Linked DNA regions of Saccharomyces cerevisiae S288C. The gene in region 2 interacts genetically with the main gene of each other region. Each region holds a gene or a part of one and is shown on either strand. Other genes may lie near its edges.

Region 1 (3,974 bases), on a different chromosome or scaffold from region 2:
GACAATCCTAATATAAACAGTCTTAGGGAAGTAACCAGTTGTTAAAACAGTTTATCAGATTAATTCACGGAATGTTACTTATCTTATATACTATATAAAATATGAATCATACTAAGTGGTGGAAACGCGGAATCTCGGATCTAAACTAATTGTTCAGGCATTTATACTTTTGGGTAGTTCAGCTAGGGAAGGACGGGTTTTGTCTCATGTTGTTCGTTTTGTTATAAGGTTGTTTCATATGTGTTTTATGAACGTTCAGGATGACGTATTGTCATACTGACATATCTCATTTTGAGATACAACACGCTCCGAAGAACTCATCCTTGTTAGCTCAGTTGGTAGAGCGTTCGGCTTTTAAGCGCATTTGCTTAAGCAAGGATACCGAAATGTCAGGGGTTCGAGCCCCCTATGAGGAGTTCTTTACTTTTTTGCACGTTTTACAAATATGCAGAAACAAAGACAATACATATTGTATCAGTTGGTTATAGTGTTTTGGACTTACAAGGTTCTGACAATATACATTAATGTGTTCCTTTTATTGAATGAAAAAAAAAAATAATTCTTACATCTCAATATGAAATTTTATCCTTTACAGTACAAAAGTAATTATTTCGAGAGTCTAATTAGAATGATATCTAGAAAAGGCTTTCCAGTTGAAATTCACCACTGGAATTTTTGGTAAATACACCTTCTTCTGTGATAATTCCGTCAATAAGCTCATGTGGAGTAATGTCGAAGGCTGGATTCCAGACATTGATTTCAAGAGGGGCAATACCGACCTTTCCAGTGATTGGCTCTCCTGACTCATTCAATATCAAGGAACCATTTTCAGGATTAATTACTGTACCAGTAACAACCTTGAATTCCTCAGGGTTACGTTCTTCCACAATAATGTCATCGCCAGTTTCGGTTACATTATCGATAGTTGTTTTGGGAGCTACTACAAAAAACTTAATTCCGAACTGCTTACAAATTACAGCAAGTTGTAAAGTACCAATTTTATTTGCTGTATCCCCATTACGAACAATTCTATCAGCTCCAACAAATGCTGCTTTGATTGGAATTGGACTAGTTCTAATTCTATACGCGATGGAACTATCAGTAATTAAAGTTGATGGAATCTTATCATAAACTAGCTCGTATGCTGTTAGCCTTGACCCTTGATTATAAGGTCTAGTTTCCAGTGGGAAGACATGGCCCATCCTCGGGCATTTTTCATTGTCCAATCCCGAGTCTGCCTTGTCGGTTTTAGCAAGTGAATCCTTCCACAAAGAACGGATAACACCTAAAGCCGTGCCATATCCAGAGGTTGCTAAGGATCCAGTATTACAAATCGTCAGAACGGCAAATTCGTCCTTGAAACCGTCCTTTTGTAACACGTCAATCAAATACTTAGCTCCATTATCACCCATTTTCATGTTATTCGCCAAATCCTCATCTATCAATTCACAGACGTAATTATATAAACTACCGTCAAAAGCCTTTAGGTCACTTGAGGATTTCAGTATGTTCTTTATCTCTACAAGAGAATTTGATAAATTAACGGCTGTGGGTCTACTACTCAAAAGGAAATCTAGCCTCTTATTTAGCACTGTTTTTGTAGATTCCCAGTTAACTAAAGAATACAGCGTAGCAACATCAGAAGTTGGGTTGTGTTTTATTAATTGTACCTCAGTCAAAACAGATAACGAACCCACAATTGCAATTGCCGGGGCACCTCTCACCTGCATACTTTTGATGACTGAGTACCCATCATCAATTGTGTGAATTGGAACGTATTTAGTAGTATATGGTAAAAGTAATTGATCAAGTACCTTTACCGAAACATTTTCTGGCTCCGATCTATCAAAGACGATGGCTTCCAACGACATTTTTTGTCAGCAGTTTGATAGATCACTTTGTCGGTCGTAGATATTGCTCTTAATCTTTTTATTCTAGCATGCTAAATTGATGAATGGGGAATACTTTGGCCGTGCGCCCCATCATCTCATCTTAGTAAGTGAAAAACCGGAAAAACTAACGCCAAGAAGGCCTGTAAAAAAAAAATCTTACTGATTTTCATTTTAGTATATAATACAATTACTATATAACTGAAGAATATTTACGCTAGACACATGTGTGTGTTTCCTCATTTATTTTTTGAAAACTCACTCGTAACAGGGTAAAATGGCTTTACTCCATTTCCATCATTTTCATTATACGTTTCATCTGAGTTTATTGATCTGATATCTGAAGAGTGCGTGGAGCTATAAAATGAATTATGCCCTTCGACTTCAAGGATATGTGAATTATCACGATTTTGAGAATCTGGACTTAGTAATCGATGTATTTCCATAGAAGTTTTTTTCTTATTCTCTTTTTTATGAGGCAAAAATTTGTTACCAATAATATTTCCCAAATGTTGTAAAACTATTCTTACGACGTCTCTTTTCAAAGCAGTAAAAAATTCTTCCCTCGACCACAGTTTGTTATGGTACTTTAAAACAGGGACTCTAACAATCAGGTTATTAACATCGGTCAAAAGGCTGTGTGAACCCTTATAACACACGGACATTAGAGTTTTTCGGATTATAATAGATTTTACATTGAAAAATGTCCCTGATCTTTTGACCATTTCATTGATGTTATAATCAGGTTGCACAAAAAGTGATGCTGACAATTTTCTATGATCACCCTTATGCTTTTTGATACCTTCTTTGCTCTGGATACTACGCAAGTCCCAAGAGTCAACGTCTTTCGCATCGTACACAGATAAAGAACCGTTAGAAAGACTGTGCCGTAAAACTGGAGACGATGAAAAGAAGGAACTAGTGGAAGAACGTGGTACAAGTTCTGGAGAATTGGGTTCTATGGAAGTTTGTTCTATCTTTGGAAATAGATAATTCATTAGTTTTTCCGATGTTTTGTGATCCATCTTGAAAATCAATGGCTGTAGAGAAACAATCAAATCTTGCAGATCTGAAATACCTCCAACTGATGGCCCCAGGATCCAAAAAATTTCTACCATTGGCGCGTTCTTATTATAGGATGAATTTTCATAAAAGGGGGCCAGCAATTCAGTGTAAACGGGATTTTCTTGCTGGTTGAAACATTGTAAGGAAGAAATGGATACTTTATTACTATTAGTGCCATCGGAAGTTTCTGAACGAATAAATGTAGAGGGCCCCAATCCGATAGTCACGAAAGGAGTTTTACTCTCATCGTACAATTCCCATATCAATTCATCTGTTCCAACTTGCCACCTCAATCTTTTCTGTATTACTCTATTACCACTCCCCATCCGGTCGTAAGTTTTCTTGATTGCCGTCATAAGTAACGTCAACTTCAACGTACTAGTTTGAATATCGAAGGTTAGCTCTTGTCCTGATTTCATAAACAATCTTGGCTCGTGAAGTTTGAGGTATGCTCGCGTATAATAGAGTTCCTTTATTCTTTCTTGTAATGCTGTGACAACAGAGACATCAAGATTTTCCAGGTTATTTCTGACCTCATCAGTAAATAATATCCTGGAAAGTTTCTCAACTTTTTCATCCAATGATGATCCAAAGGAAAGTAAATCTTCTGCGATTGCATATACAGCGCAGTATTGTTGACAGTCCGAGGTCAGAACCAATCCTGGAAATGCAATACGAAATCTCGAATCATAAGAGAATGCAGACGTATCATTTGCACTAAAAAATAGGGGATTGGGAGCGACGTAGGTCAAAAACATTGATCTCCGTTTTAGAAAAACATGCTTATCTAATAAAGACCCGTCAAAGCACATTTCAAGAGGAATCCATGGGGGCCATATATCTGACTCTTTGTCGGAACCATATCCATTTTTATGGAAAAATCTACCTTCAGGACCCTCTAAATCCTTTTTGAACAATGTAAACAACTGAATGTCCTTTGAAACAGCGGAATAGCGAGTTTCAACAATAGTATCGACGTCAACGGGAATTCTTTTTCCTGATTTTCCATACACTTGAACT
Region 2 (5,137 bases):
GCCGTTGATGTTGTCTAAGCTATGTGCAGGAACCGTATAGCCTCTCCTCATGTATGCGGTCGGTACCACAGCAGCGCCCACCAGCCCTAACATAATATATCTAAACTTTGGAGTTCTCACAACTCTTTGTGCCTCTGAGTATATTCCTGAATCTAACTTCATTTCAGTAAACTTTGTTTGAATTTTATGCGCTAAATATTTGTATTGATTGTATTTATTGATTCTGATCCTTCAGTAACACACATTCCAAACTATCCTGGATAATGTGAAAGAGATTTGGCAGTTCAATTTATATGAAGAAGACCCTCACGTCGCGAAGCATTTTTAACAGTGTTATCCCAGTATCCCGTAATTCTTCTCTTCATCCAATGCTGGCCATTACTCCATTTATTGGGGTGATGTAGGCTTCTTATCCCTTTTAAAGGGTACCTTATTGATCTCCCTTTTCGGTGCGGCTGATGAAATCTATAGAGCAAACCGAAGTAAAACAAAATTACGAAAAGAAATATAACATTATATCTTTATCAAAATGTATGTATGGAGGAGTAACAGCTGAAAACCCCCGTTGTGAGTGGTTTATGATTGTTTTCACGCTTATTTTGTCTTCTATATCTTTGCTGATTTTACTTGTATTAATCCGGTTCATCCGAAAACTTTTTTGAAGATCGAGCCAAATTTACTTTTTTTCTTCTTTTCAGACCTTTTAAATTGATGGTCGTTTGTTGAGGATGAGGAACTGTCCTTTTTGCTGTTGCCTGATTTGGTGCTTTCGGTAGTTTTCGTCCTTGAAACGTGGTTGTGGTGATGGTGGTGGTGATGCGCTTTTCTCTGTCCTGAAGAAGATGAAGTGGAGGATGTTCTGGGTGATAGCCCTGCGGATTTTGTTTTTCTCATTGGATGTGAAGTGAACTTCATTTTCGGATCCTCATTGTCCCATTTTAGTGCTGTCTTGATATGAGGCGTAGAGGCAGTTTCGTGGTTGTAAATGTCATCAACCATGGACTTTACTTTATAAATGCCGTTATTGTTGAATTGTATTCTTGAACTCCGCTTTGAGCTGCGCCTCGAATTTCTCGATTCTATAGGAGTTAGCTTTCGGCCAGAACTGTCGTACTTCATAAGAGTGTTATCATCCAATAGTACTTGTCTCGACGGTTTTGGTCTAACATATCCCATCTTATCGAAGAATTCCATTTCTTCCTTTTTTTCAGGTGAGATTGGGAAGTACTCATTTACAGAGGTTACTGACTCATCACTATCGCTTTCTTCATCATCCGAATCAACCACTTTATGTTTTGTGAAAGGGTTTTCCAAAGTTCTCCTGATTAATGCACTTAGCCATTGCAATCGTTCCTTTTTTCTCACTTCCGTTTTCAAATCATCGCTGTTGTCCTGTTCATCTTTATCCACTCTAGGTTTTATTAAAAGCTCAGGCTTGATGAATTCGAATGGGACAACAAATGCTGGCATTGCAAAGTGTTTCATTAAAAAAAATGGTAGTTTCACTTTTCCATTTCTAAACTTGATTTGAATGTTGGCACTAACGGTGCTGATTACTTGCAAACTTGGCCTATACAGAGAGGTCGCAGATATTATGGCTGATCTTGTTGAATTTTCTTTTACCATCTCAATACTAATCCTAACTATTTTAGTTGCCAATCTTCTCGCGTAGTAATTTAAAATATCGCTACAAGTTTGCTTAGCCTCATTATGAATAGCTTCTATTCTTATTCCCGTTGATAAAGGACTAGAGAGATCCGGGCCTATAAGGCTATGTGACGCGGTAGTCATGCTTTCACTAGTATTGCTAGTCATCCTTTCTAAGCGGTGCCTTCTTTTCTCCTTATATGCTAGAGTATCAATCTTTGCTTCAAACTCAGGAATTGTAGTAATTATGACTAAATGATCACCATTTCTTGTCAAATTTTCAACATACCAGTCCACAGATGACCAAGTATATCTCCTACCTGATATATAACACGAAACAACTCTTAAATCTACATCGTCATCTTTGTCTTTGCAATTGAGCTTTTCTTTTGTATTGGAAATATAATTTTCATAGTCTGGATGATCAATTGTCATTGAAATTGCATTGTGAACAATTGTAGGCCTTGATGGATAAATTGCTGCTAAAGGGTCCGTCACGTTGCTTGAATCCGTTTTTGACTCTGTTGTGTTCAAATAGACTGGAACTTGCTCACCAAAATCAAATTGATCTATTTTAGTCTTGTTCGATCTTCCTTTACTTATATAAAATTCCTCTAATTTGGCTAATTCTTCGTCTGTCATCCCGGCAAACGACTTGGACCTTTTCTTTGAGCTCTCCATATTTTCGCTTTCGGATAAATCTACCATTGACTTGGTCTCAATTCTATCTTCAACTTCATTAAGATTGGCAAATGCAGCTTGCGTATAGCCTTTCCTTGATCCAGAATTTTTTTGAGTGTTTCTTTCGGTCATTTTGGTCATTTTTCTTTCCAGCTCAAAATCCAAATCACCAATATCAATATCATCAATAGGGCCCTGTTCATCAGCAGCTTTTCGAGATTTTTTTAGCACGGATACTTTTGGAGGGGGAGGCAACCTCACTGAAGTCCTTCTTCTTGACCTGAACATTGGAGACTCACTTCTACTTCTTTCAACGCTGGGCGATCTCAAATAGCTTTTGGAGGGATCATGTGCTGCAGGAGAAAATACCTGAGTATAGAAGTGAGGAACTCCAGATGTTGTAGACGTTGGAGTTCCTAGTTGTAGTGGCGAAGAAGCTTCTTCGTCTTCGGGTGAGTCCAAGCTTTCGTCAGTGGCAAGGTCATTAGAGCCATGGCTACCGGTCAAAGTATTTTTGTAAACAGGATTAAATTGTGGAGGTATATGTAAAAAATGATTATTCAAGCCAACATGGTGACTGTCATTTTTAATAATGGTAGCTTGGTCATCAATTAAGGAAGGTGCCAGATCATCAAACGAGATATGCTTAGTAAATGTCTTTGCAGATGACATCTTCTATTATTTTTATTAGATATTAGCAGTTTGCCAGGGATTACAGCTTCTCCCTTATGTACAGTGCGACAATATTCTTTTTTTCAATGTGTCTTTTTATTCATTCTTCTGAACAGTTTCGCTTCGTTAAGGGTCCTTCTGGCTTTCTAGAGGCATGCTCACCTAAAATCCCCCTAGAAAAGCGGGCTCTTTACCCGGCGAATAATAATAACCGCGGCTACTAATTTTGCACCATTGAATATTAACCTCAAAAGGCTTAGTTGGCAATTATATTCTCCTTCTATTAATACTTAATGTTTACAATGTCCTTATAGGTGTTTAAATATATTTTTATATACTTTGTACATATTGACTTCCCAGTGCGTAACAACGTCTTCCAATGACTATTTTTTTTGTTCGAGAGTATATAGTTTTTTTTTTAAAGCTAGCAGTTCGTCCTTGAGGGAATCTCTATTTTCTTTCGACATATACAGTTCCGCTTTCAGATTGTTGATTTTCATTCTGTGGAACGCATCAAAATTTCCATGAGTGATGGCGCCACGCTGTTCCTGCTTGTCATCCTGTTCAGCTTGTTCAGTTTTAATTCTATCAATCTCCTTCTGTAAATCGTCGTTGTTTTTACGATATTTTTCGAGCTCGGATTGTGATAGGTGAATAGCCTTCTTTGTTAGGTCCATAGACTTCGAGCTTCCATCAGAGAGTTTTCTTAGCGCATCCAACTTGTTGTTATTGTCGAGTAAATTAGCCCGCAAAGAATCTCTTTCATCATTAAGCTTCTGAGTTTCAAGGTGCAATTTCTCTTTAGCACGCACGGTTTCGTGCATTTCATTTATTACTTTTTCTATTTTGTTCAGCGAATCTTTCTCATATATTTGATTATCTTTCTCACTTGAAGGTGGCCGTGCACTGGTAGGATAGCTTTTTAATAATTTACCCAGATAGCAGGACGATTCGTTCAAATAGGTATGAAGTTCGGGGGTTATTTTTTGCATATTATTTACAAGTATTTCGTTCTGGCGCTTCAAAACATCACATTTATTCTCAAGATCGATGATATCCCTTTTAATAGTGACATGTTCGGAGCATGTTTTAAGTCCATTATTTTGAATCGTAATTTGGTCACAGAGTTTACTTGCCTGAGATAATTTGACCATCAATAAATTTTTTAAATCATTAATTCTAGATTCTAAAAAGGTTTTCTGAATTTCTAGATTTTTAAGCCGTGCTGTTTGAAAATTTGAATCTTTTGAAGCTTCTTTTATTACCATGAGTCTCTGGACTTCCTTTTCTAATTGTGAAATATGTCTAGCAGTTTCAAGTTCCTTTTGTTGAGCTTCGAGACGTAATGTTTGTAGGTTCAGGTTTAAATCATCAAAAAGATTTTTGGGAATTCCTTTTTGACATGATGTGTCCTTATATGAAGAAGAGCCATACTCTTCTGAATCCACTGTTAGTCCTCGTAGAACAGGGAAATTTTTTTTAGATACTTTGATACCAGTTCCCGGACTTTCCTTATTGATGCTTGAATCAACTTTGGAAGATTGGGGTTTCTTTTCCTCCCTATCTGATTTTCGTTCAAATGCCTTATCATCCAAAGCGCTGGAGTAACTTCCAGCCCCTTCATCAATATCATTATAACTCAAAACTTTGCTATCAGGCAATCTTGGTGTAAGAATGTTTATTATCTCTTGATTTTCACTTTCGGTAGACTTAGAGGGTGTAAAGCCCCCGGAAAGACTATTAGAAAAACTTTCTCCTGCATGTAGTGATTCACACATTATTCCTGGGCATAGCTCATTCAAAGATGATAAATCTAAGGTATACAGTAAAGTTCCTTCGCCTTGGTCAGTTTCTGAAGTTTGTAGATCGTGAATATTTGGGCTGGCATAGTCAGTTTTGTCGCCACCCATGATAAGAAGCTTCTCATTCTTCATTAAGGTTAAAGAATGTCCAGAGCGTTCTTGAGGTATGCCCTCCTTCATACGGGGAAGCTTATACCATTTTAGCGATAATAAGTTTAAAAAATAGACATCGTTGGAATATGCGTTATGGGTATCCTTACCGCCTAACACACACATTAAATGTTTATACACCACACTAGCATGCTCTTGTATTGGCGGAGGCTTTTCTCCTGTGG
Region 3 (5,225 bases), on a different chromosome or scaffold from region 2:
ACGACGTTCTTCAAGGCACCGGCAATGGATATACCAGCAACATCATCGATGACATTGACGTGGAAGTAAGGTCTGTGGAACAGCAATTTCAAAATCTTATGATCTACATCCTTGCCATCACCTTGATAATCCTTTGGTAGTTGGTAAGCCACGGTGGTTTCGGACCAATGCTCCTTGGCCACTTCCGGTGCCAAGTTTGCACCAGATAGTGCGCCACATTGGATTCCTAACTCATCAGTAACATAGGAGGATAGCAATTGCACACCCTTGGAGCCCAACTCGAACCCTTTTAGACACGAGATGGCCCTTACATGAGGGGCCACGTGGCCTTGCAATTGTTTGACTATGTTTGGTAAAAATTGATGAGGGATGTTGAAAACAAGGATGTCAGCACCCTTGATGGAGTGTAAAAGATCAGGATCGGCCACTAGATTATGGGGCAGGTCAATATTGGGTAGATATTTAACGTTCTGGTGTCTTGTATTTATGATATCCGTCAGATTTTCGTCGCCGATCTTTTCATCAAAAACCCACATTCTCACCTCTGGCTCGAAGATATGGGAATGCAATTCTGTGTTTTCCGCAATGACTTTGGCGATGGTGGTCCCCCAGTTACCAGAACCAATCACTGTAACCTTGAAGGGCGCACGTTTCAAATGTACAATTGACACGGCAGAGTCCGATCTTCTGATAGGATGGTCCTCATGACAGTGTTTGTGCTGTTTGATATTAGTATGAGCAGTCATCTTTGAGTGCAGTTGTGTTTGTAATAATGATCTTCTTAGGAAAGTAGATCTTGAAGGCAAAATTTTATATGCACGACGAGTATATAACACCGGATGCGTTCGCTTAAGGAATGTGTATCTTGTTAATCTTCTGACAGCAAGCATTGATAAGGAAGGGGAGCGAAGGAAAAGGAAAGGGAAAGAGAATTGAATCTACCAAAATACATAAACTTAAAAATTAATATATAAAAAAAAAATCTAAAGGAGTAGAAAGAAGAACCCAAGGATAAATCAAGGAAAAAGCTTAGTGGAAGGAAAAAAAACTAGAAAAAAAGTAACAAGAAAAAAAGGCAAGAAGAAAAAAAAGTAAAACCAAAAAAAAAAAAAAAAAATACTAGAATGACAGGGTAGAGAAGAGCTGCTGAACAATAGATTAATCGGAATAACAATGGCAATAGGTCCGTAAGCTAAACACTCTTCCCCTCAGCAACCCATCGGCACCTCGCCGCAAAAGCGTAATATAACAATGGCAGAGCCATCGTCGTCTTATTGTTTCGAGCATACTCAAACCTTCTTCATCATGTGAAGGAAAACAAACTCGGTAATGATGATGACTGAATCTTAGAAGATACACGCTTGCATGATGGCTATGGCTAGAGGCTAAGGCGATATGATGGTGATGGTGACGGTGATGGTAATTCCTTGCTCCAGTTTTTATTTTTCGCCCTCCCGAATTGCTGTCATCAACGGGTGGGGTGGGTGATGGCTCAGGATTAGCTCATCGCGCACGGTTACCTGGGGGCGGTGCCTGGGTTGAGGAAGGCGCGGGTGCTCGGATGTTCCGATAAAATAACCGGAGTTTGTAACGTACAGAGTGAGATATACCCTAGGGCATACCGTTCATTAAAGCAGGGTATTATCATAGAAACGAAGTCAGGGTTAGGGCTAGTATTTGTTTTCTTTCTTCATTCTTTTGGTTTCTTTAAATTCTAAATTAGCAAATGGGAAAAAAGGGACGACCTTGGTGATTGCACATAGGCTTTCCCCATTCGTGCTTGTTTGCTTATTACATAATAAAAAAAGAGTTGATATCGTCACAGTTACTTGCTGCTGCGTCTGTTATTTGCACGAAACTCTCCCCACTATAATAGATATGTCGTTTTTGCCACTAAGGTCTAGGTCACGATCAGGCGCTCCTCATTGGGTATACATCATCTTATATCACATCTTTACGATACCGAAGATATATTCACTGCCGTTGTTATCCGGATCACACGTACTCAATTCTAGGGATGTTGCCGATTCCGGCCATAGCGTAGGTGATGAGGCAAGCGTTACCACGTACTATATTATCTCTATCATCCTAGTGCTGCTGGGTGGTGTATTTGCAGGATTGACGCTGGGGTTGATGGGTCAAGATGAAGTCTACCTGAAGGTAATCAGCACTTCAGGCTCGAATTCTGAAAAGAAACTGGCCAAGCGGGTGCTTGACCTAATATCTAGGGGGAAGCATTGGGTTCTAGTCACACTGCTGCTTTCTAATGTTATAACCAACGAAACATTGCCTATTGTTTTGGACAGGTGTCTTGGGGGTGGTTGGCAGGCTGTAGTGTCGTCAACTATTCTAATTGTGATCTTCGGTGAAATTATTCCGCAGAGTGTCTGTGTTAAATACGGGCTGCAAGTTGGGGCATTCTTCTGCCCCTTTGTTCTTGTACTGATGTATCTGATGTACCCAGTCGCATATCCGATCGCGACTCTCCTGGACTATATGCTGGGTGAAGATCATGGTACGATGTACAAAAAATCCGGCTTAAAGACTTTGGTCACCTTGCATAGGACCATGGGGGTGGAACGGTTGACTAAAGACGAAGTTACAATCATCTCTGCTGTTTTGGATCTAAAGGCAAAGAGGGTTGAGGAAATCATGACTCCGATTGAAAACGTGTTCACAATGAGTGCCGATACCATCCTAGACGATAAAACTGTCGAAAAAATCTTCAACTCAGGGTTTTCTAGAATCCCGATTTTTTTGCCCAATGAACCAAACAACTTCATCGGCATGTTACTTGTCAGGGTGCTTATCTCCTACGATCCTGATGACTGCCTCCCAATCTCCCACTTCCCCCTAGCCACGTTGCCAGAAACTTCCCCGAACACATCTTGTTTGAATATTCTGAATTACTTCCAGGAGGGGAAAGCTCACATGTGCGTCGTTAGTAAAGAGCCGGGCTCCTCGCATGGCGCTATTGGTGTTTTAACTTTGGAGGATGTCATTGAAGAATTGATCGGTGAAGAAATCGTGGACGAGTCTGATGTCTTTGTGGACATGCATCAGCATATTATGAGACAACAACCGGGGCCCTTGAGCAAAAGGCACATTACTTCCTATTTGCATCATTTGTACACTAGCTCTCACAAGGAGCACAAAGCTGCTGACCAAGCTGATGAATCGTCTCCACTCTTGTCTCCATCCAATTCTAATCACCCATCCGAGCACCCACAGCAAGATTTGAATAATAAGTCTTGGAAGCAGAAGTCAAATGATGGTTACGACAGGTCCAACGCTGTATTGTCTCCAACTCCACAAGTGACGGAACATGGCACCATCATACCTTCAAATCTAGCGTCCAACCCGTTGAACGTAAATAAATCTTTTGTTACCATTAAAAAGCCTGCCAATGTTCCGAAAATCATTACTACACACACTCCTCATTCTAGCAAAGAGCCTTCTCCAGCACCACACTCAAATGATAAATCACTCTCCGCCGAAGAACAACAACTATTAAGTGATCATGCAGAGCTATCTCGCCAAGCTGTTCTCCATACTCAACGGTCGGGTCAACCAACTCAAGTTACTACCTCGACTAAAACCACGAGAAATAGCCCTGATAGTATATCAATTCCAAATTCTGGCGCGAATCACGGCAACGAAAATCAAAACGTTACAATCTCAACCTCTTACCAAAATACGAAGAATGGTATTGTGGAATCTGTCATCACAGTCAAAGGTGTTCCAAAAACCATCATTGGCCCCGCAAAAGATTGGGACGAATCCAAAAGTGAATATGGAAACGAGAATATCAATCAAGAGAATTCTAATCGAAGTGACGATAGAGAAAGTTCAAGTTCAAATGCAAGTTTATTTTCCAGTATTAAGAATAAATTTAAGAACGAAAACGCTAACAACAATGATCGTTCTAATTTCACCGACTCTTTGTCAAGAACTTCCAATTATGATGCCAACGGCTCCTCGTCGACCATAAAAAGATGAAGAGATTATGCCAAAAGAATTGCCCATGCATCATAATAACCATCATCACCGTTCTTATTAGTCCCAGACGCATGAAATCACAGGGGAGAGCAGCTTAAAATTTTTTCTACAGACATACAAGAAGAAATTGCAGTTTTTTTTTTTTTGTTTCTCTAACCTATAAATAAAATGTTTCAATACACATACTAAACAAAGAAAAAAAAATGTAGAGAATTTTATACGCAAAATATATAGACACTTTCCCCTATTTTTATCAATAAAAAAATGAACACATCAATGCCACTACCATCCATGCTCGAACAACATAGAAATGGATTCACCGTTATGGATTCTTCTAATTGCTTCACCGATTATGCAGGAGACATCAATAACATCCACTCTGTCCTTACCTAGGTACTGTAGTGTTCTATCTTGAGGAACCGTGTTAGAAATGATCAACTTATCTATACTACTTTGGCCGATTCTTTCTAGCGCATCACCGGAAAAAACACCGTGCGTTATTAAGGCATAAACTTTGGTAGATCCTTGATCCTTCAACAATTTCGCAGCTCTTGTAATAGTGTATGAAGTATCCACCAAGTCGTCGACTATAATACACACCTTGTTTCTAACATCGCCAACAAGCATGGTAGTTTGAACGAACTTGGACGAATTAGAAGATTGCGACGAGGTGGAAGATGTTGAAGTTGTTTTCTTCATTTCAAGGGCCGCAACCCCAGTGGCACCTGAAGAAGTAGTATTTTGGGAGGAAACCAAAGTAGTAACTAATGGCCTTGGAGATACTGGTAACGAACCACCAGAGGTTAACGTCGCATCTGGAGGGCCCTTCAATAACTGAGATCTTCTTTCTTTATGAATTAGGGCGAAGGACAATTCCAAGGCGTCTGCAATAGCCGTAGCTCTCTTTGCACCACCAGCATCTGGAGAAACGATCACAGCATCCTGATAATCTGGAATGCGATGCTGGATGTAGTTTTGTGCAATGGGTTTACAGTAGAGATTATCCACTGGAATGTCAAAAAACCCAGGGAACTGTGGATCGTGCAAATCCATTGTGATCACATGGTCAGCACCTGCAGCACTCAACAAATGAGCAATCAAAGTACCGGCTTGTACTACCCATAGCTTATAGCCTGCATTTTGAGCGTTGAACAATTCACCAGCGTCCGTGCTATTGCTTGTATTTTGTAACTTACCACCGGGAATCATAGGAATTCTTGAAAAAG
Region 4 (4,059 bases), on a different chromosome or scaffold from region 2:
CAAGATTTCTCTCCTGAACCGCCTTTTGGCCTTTTTTTGCTTGTGTACTTGATGTATTCCCTAAAGACGAAGTCTTCTTTGGTTGAGAATGTAAAGATTCCTGCGATACTTTTTTTCTTAAAAGTGAACCATTTCTTGCATTCAAGGCACTGTGGGCAGAGTTGGAACGCCTTAGCAATTTAGAAGTATTGGCATTGCTTGGTTTTTCAACGGGGACCTCAATTGCAACCAGCCCGTTGGGCCCAGGAATATACTTTCGCGTAGTCCTCAAAGGAATAGACCCGCTAGGATTTTCAGTACGGTGTTGTCCCGTTAAAATTCCTCTGGCCTGTGGTCCGCCAAAATCCTTGAACGTACGTTGAGCCTCATCATAGCTTATTCTTTGGTGTGTTTTGGACTTTTGACGTTGTAAACCAGAACTGTTTCTGCTTTGCTGACCTCTCTGGTTAGGGAGACTCGAAGTTCTATTGTGAGACCTAGTTTTGTGCTGCGGTTCCTTCGTTAAAGGAGAATTTAATGAATCTCCCTTCCCCATTGATGACCGTTGGGTAAGGCTGTTTATTTTCCCGGGACGACCTTTACCATCGCTCCTTCTAGATTCCGATGATATACTAGAAATAGAAGACATTCTTTTGGGGGCAGAAGGTTTTCTTAAGTTTGTCATCGAAGCGGATCGATAGGTCGGCCTTTGTTCGTTATCAGATTGATTACCCTTCTTCATTAATAATTTACCGATACTTGCTGCAGCTGCCACTGCTGTCGGGTCCGCCTGTTCCATTTCTGGTGCAGTTGTTCTTCTTCTAAACATTTTTAGGAACGAACGGCTGGTGATTTGTGGAATTGGTTGGTATGGCTACGTGTTGCTGTTGTGTTTTATATGTTTTTATCCAATTTGTCGGTAAAGTAAGGGAGCACTGAAAATTTAGCGAAGAAATGAATACTTCCTTTAAGGTTATCTATCGTCCTTTTTTGCATGTTGACCCTCGCGCCACACGGCCAGCCCGCTGCCGCAGTGAGCTAAAATTGGGCCTGCTTAGCGGCGACGCGACGGGATTTTGCGGATTTACTGTTGACGTTAAAAGATGTGGCAGTGACACCAATTGCAAGAGATTACCTTGACCAATAATTAAGTTATTTGGCTATAGAGTGTGAACATCTATTCTACATACTGCCCAAAATATAAGTACTTGTTTTAATGAAATTAGAAGGAATTAAAGAACACTTTTTTATATATCCGGGGCCGACATCGCCGAGTCCCTTGGCAAATCAACTCCGATGTCTTTCTTGATCGCTAACCAGTAAGAAATTAATTGTAAAGGAATAACGTTAAGTATCCCTTGGAGACAATCTACGGTTTGGGGTACCTCGAGTGTAACAACGTTTCCTTTTTGTTTGTCTTGCTCCCATATCTTATGCCCCTTGTTACAAATGATAATCGGATTGCCCTTCCTTTCTATTATTTGGTCAATGCAAGACGCGATTTTGGGCGAAAAAGCATCCTTTGTCGCAAAGGCGATAATTGGCGGATTATCAGATGCCACAGCTAGGACTCTGTGTCCTAGCTCGTTGGTAAGAATACTTTCAGAATGCACGTAAGAAATTTCTTTCATCTTCGAGGCGCCTTCCAAAGCAGAGGCAAATTGGTAACCTCTTCCTAAAAGCAAAAATGTATCATGCTGTTTTAGTTTCTTGTCACACAATTCAATAATCAATGGTTCAAGCTCCAAAACTTCTTTTATTTGGCTTGGGACTATAGTTAAGGCTTGAATTATTTCTTTCCTCCTTTCTATTTTAGACACCAAATCTTCCGACATCCATAGGGCAATCATGACTAAAGCGATGTATTGAGAAGTATAAGACTTGGTTGTTGCAATACCTTTCTCGGGGCCTGTGTTTGTATGAACACCGCAATGTGTAAATCTTGAGATAGAGGAACCGCTGCAATTAACTACCCCGATTGTGACTGCCTCTTTTTTGATACAGTAGTTCAAAGCATTAATTGTATCAGTTGTCTCCCCACTTCGAGAAACAAATATGCAAACATCGTTCCTGAAAATGCAACAATTGCGGTCAACAAAATCCAAGGCCAATTCAACGTTTACTGGAACTTCCATTAACTCCTCAAAGATGGGACGGGCAGCTAGGCATGAATGGAAGGAGGCCTTGGATGCAATCATTATTATTCGTTTTGCTCTTCTCAATTCTGTCAACCAATTTTCTAGTCCTCCCAAAACTACTCTGTTTGTAAAGGCGTCAACTCTTCCTCTCATGACATTTTTTGTTGTTTCACACTGCTCGTATATTTCCTTTTGCATAAAATTATCGTAAGGGCCTTTTTTGATTTTGGACAACTCCAATTCTAATTTTTGAACTGTTCTAAATGAAAAGTCCTCGGAACCAATTTTAGAACAATGGATATGAAGCTCCCCATCATAGATATGGGCAATATCATTATCCTCCAAATATACTACTTTACTCACATACCGCGCTAGTGATGCACAATCGGATGACAAATAGAATTCCATGGGTCGCGGCAAGCCGTTCTCGGCTGGCGTTTCTGTGGATGAGCCATGATTGAATGTAGAAGTTGTAGAGTTTCTCAGGTATTGTGAACGAAGGGGGGTGACTTCCTTAAACAAGTGTTATATTTTACAGGTGCGGCAGCCAAGACATTACCAGAACTCTTGGTTTGAGTATTAAGCTTCAAGTAGTCTTCTTCTTGATCCAAATATTCCACCTCGACAAAGTTTACGTCCATGTCAGTTTTACCTTTAACACCAATAACTAACGGGGAACCCTTTCTTGCGGCAACCACTTCATCGGGAAAATGAGAAGAAGTGCATAGCAGACCATAAGAGCCTTCCAATTCTTTAAGTACTAAATTTGTTAATACATGGAAATCGAGGTTGTACCCGAGTTCAATGCTTGTATCATAAATGTGTTTGTACAGTTTAGGAATACATTCGGTATCAGTGTCACTTTTGAACACATAGCCCTTTGCCATCAATAAGGCTTTCAAATTAGCGAAGTTGGTAATAACCCCGTTGTGTACCACAACAAATTCATTAGATGGATCTGAGTTATGTGGATGACAATTTGCACGTCTTAGCCCTCCATGTGTTGCCCGCCTAGTATGGGCAATGCCACAATGCGAAATAAAGGGCAGGTTCTTATTAAGATTGTAAAGGTCGATTTCTTCCTTCAAACTGCTTATTTTACCGGTTTGCTTATAAATATTGAGAGACTCCAGCTCATCACCTTGGATCGAAATTCCACTGGAGTCATATTCCTTGTACTCCAATGCCTGTAACCCTTCGATTAAAGTGTCGATGATTTCTCCTCTTGTCTTCTCAATTAAAAAATTGCAATAGCCAAAAATGCCACACATTCTTCTTCTTATATTGGGTTTTTAATCTAGTTTATTGGATCATCTTTTGAAAGTCTTTTTTACAAATTCCTTTTGTTTTATAATTTAATTATAAATGTTCAAAGACGTTTCTGAATTGTAAATATAATTCAGGGGACGGCATCAGTTTGATTCCATACACTACGTGCTAGTCTAGCCCAGCATGACTAAAACGAAAAGGGGCGCCTTTAAAAATGAGGAAGAAATCCAAATCCTAATGACCTTCAAGCGCATTTTTGGGGCTGATGTTTTAGTTCGAATGTCTCCTATTGTTAAAAGAAAGACTGCCTCTTACCTGCTTTGAGAGAGGCTGATTATTAAGAACACAGGACCCTTAAATCGGCGGCTTGTGAAATTTCTCCGAATTAAAATTCTGGATGTTCAAGAAAAATATTCTCTTCGGCCCTTTTATCGTGAGAGTAATATCGAAGTGTGCAAGGAAAAATCAAAAACGTGAAAAAACTTATACGGTTAGGTTTGGGCGGCTCGATGCTTGATGGTGATAATGTCTCTCAAACGTTCTATGTGTCGACGGAAGCCAAATTTGGGCTATTTCCATTATCACTACTTGATATAGAAAAAATACTGGTACTGCTTCTTGATTTAGTGATTAATCTTTGCTCCACTATATATTTATAAACCTCATCATTATA

What was found.
Region 1: mutations in YGR237C (region 2) and MRI1 together harm fitness more than expected from each alone (negative genetic interaction), as found in Saccharomyces cerevisiae (one large-scale study listed by BioGRID).
Region 3: mutations in YGR237C (region 2) and MAM3 together harm fitness more than expected from each alone (negative genetic interaction), as found in Saccharomyces cerevisiae (one large-scale study listed by BioGRID).
Region 4: mutations in YGR237C (region 2) and YMR085W together harm fitness more than expected from each alone (negative genetic interaction), as found in Saccharomyces cerevisiae (one large-scale study listed by BioGRID).

What each region holds. Positions count from the first base shown.
Region 1 is NC_001148.4:765,649-769,622, reverse strand, and holds MRI1 (S-methyl-5-thioribose-1-phosphate isomerase MRI1), read right to left. Parts: upstream 1,872-3,974; coding exon 636-1,871; downstream 1-635. Other genes in the region: HOB2 (Hob2p), read right to left, coding at 2,129-3,974. UniProt on the Saccharomyces cerevisiae protein: Catalyzes the interconversion of methylthioribose-1-phosphate (MTR-1-P) into methylthioribulose-1-phosphate (MTRu-1-P).
Region 2 is NC_001139.9:962,656-967,792, forward strand, and holds YGR237C (uncharacterized protein), read right to left. Parts: upstream 3,001-5,137; coding exon 643-3,000; downstream 1-642. Other genes in the region: SPG1 (Spg1p), read right to left, coding at 1-162; KEL2 (Kel2p), read right to left, coding at 3,384-5,137.
Region 3 is NC_001147.6:212,791-218,015, reverse strand, and holds MAM3 (Mam3p), read left to right. Parts: upstream 1-1,878; coding exon 1,879-3,999; downstream 4,000-5,225. Other genes in the region: glycerol-3-phosphate dehydrogenase (NAD(+)) GPD2, read right to left, coding at 1-890; ribose phosphate diphosphokinase subunit PRS5, read right to left, coding at 4,282-5,225. UniProt on the Saccharomyces cerevisiae protein: Involved in metal homeostasis and more specially in manganese sensitivity.
Region 4 is NC_001145.3:435,957-440,015, reverse strand, and holds YMR085W (uncharacterized protein), read right to left. Parts: upstream 2,526-4,059; coding exon 1,227-2,525; downstream 1-1,226. Other genes in the region: SEG1 (Seg1p), read right to left, coding at 1-808; YMR084W (putative glutamine--fructose-6-phosphate transaminase), read right to left, coding at 2,600-3,388.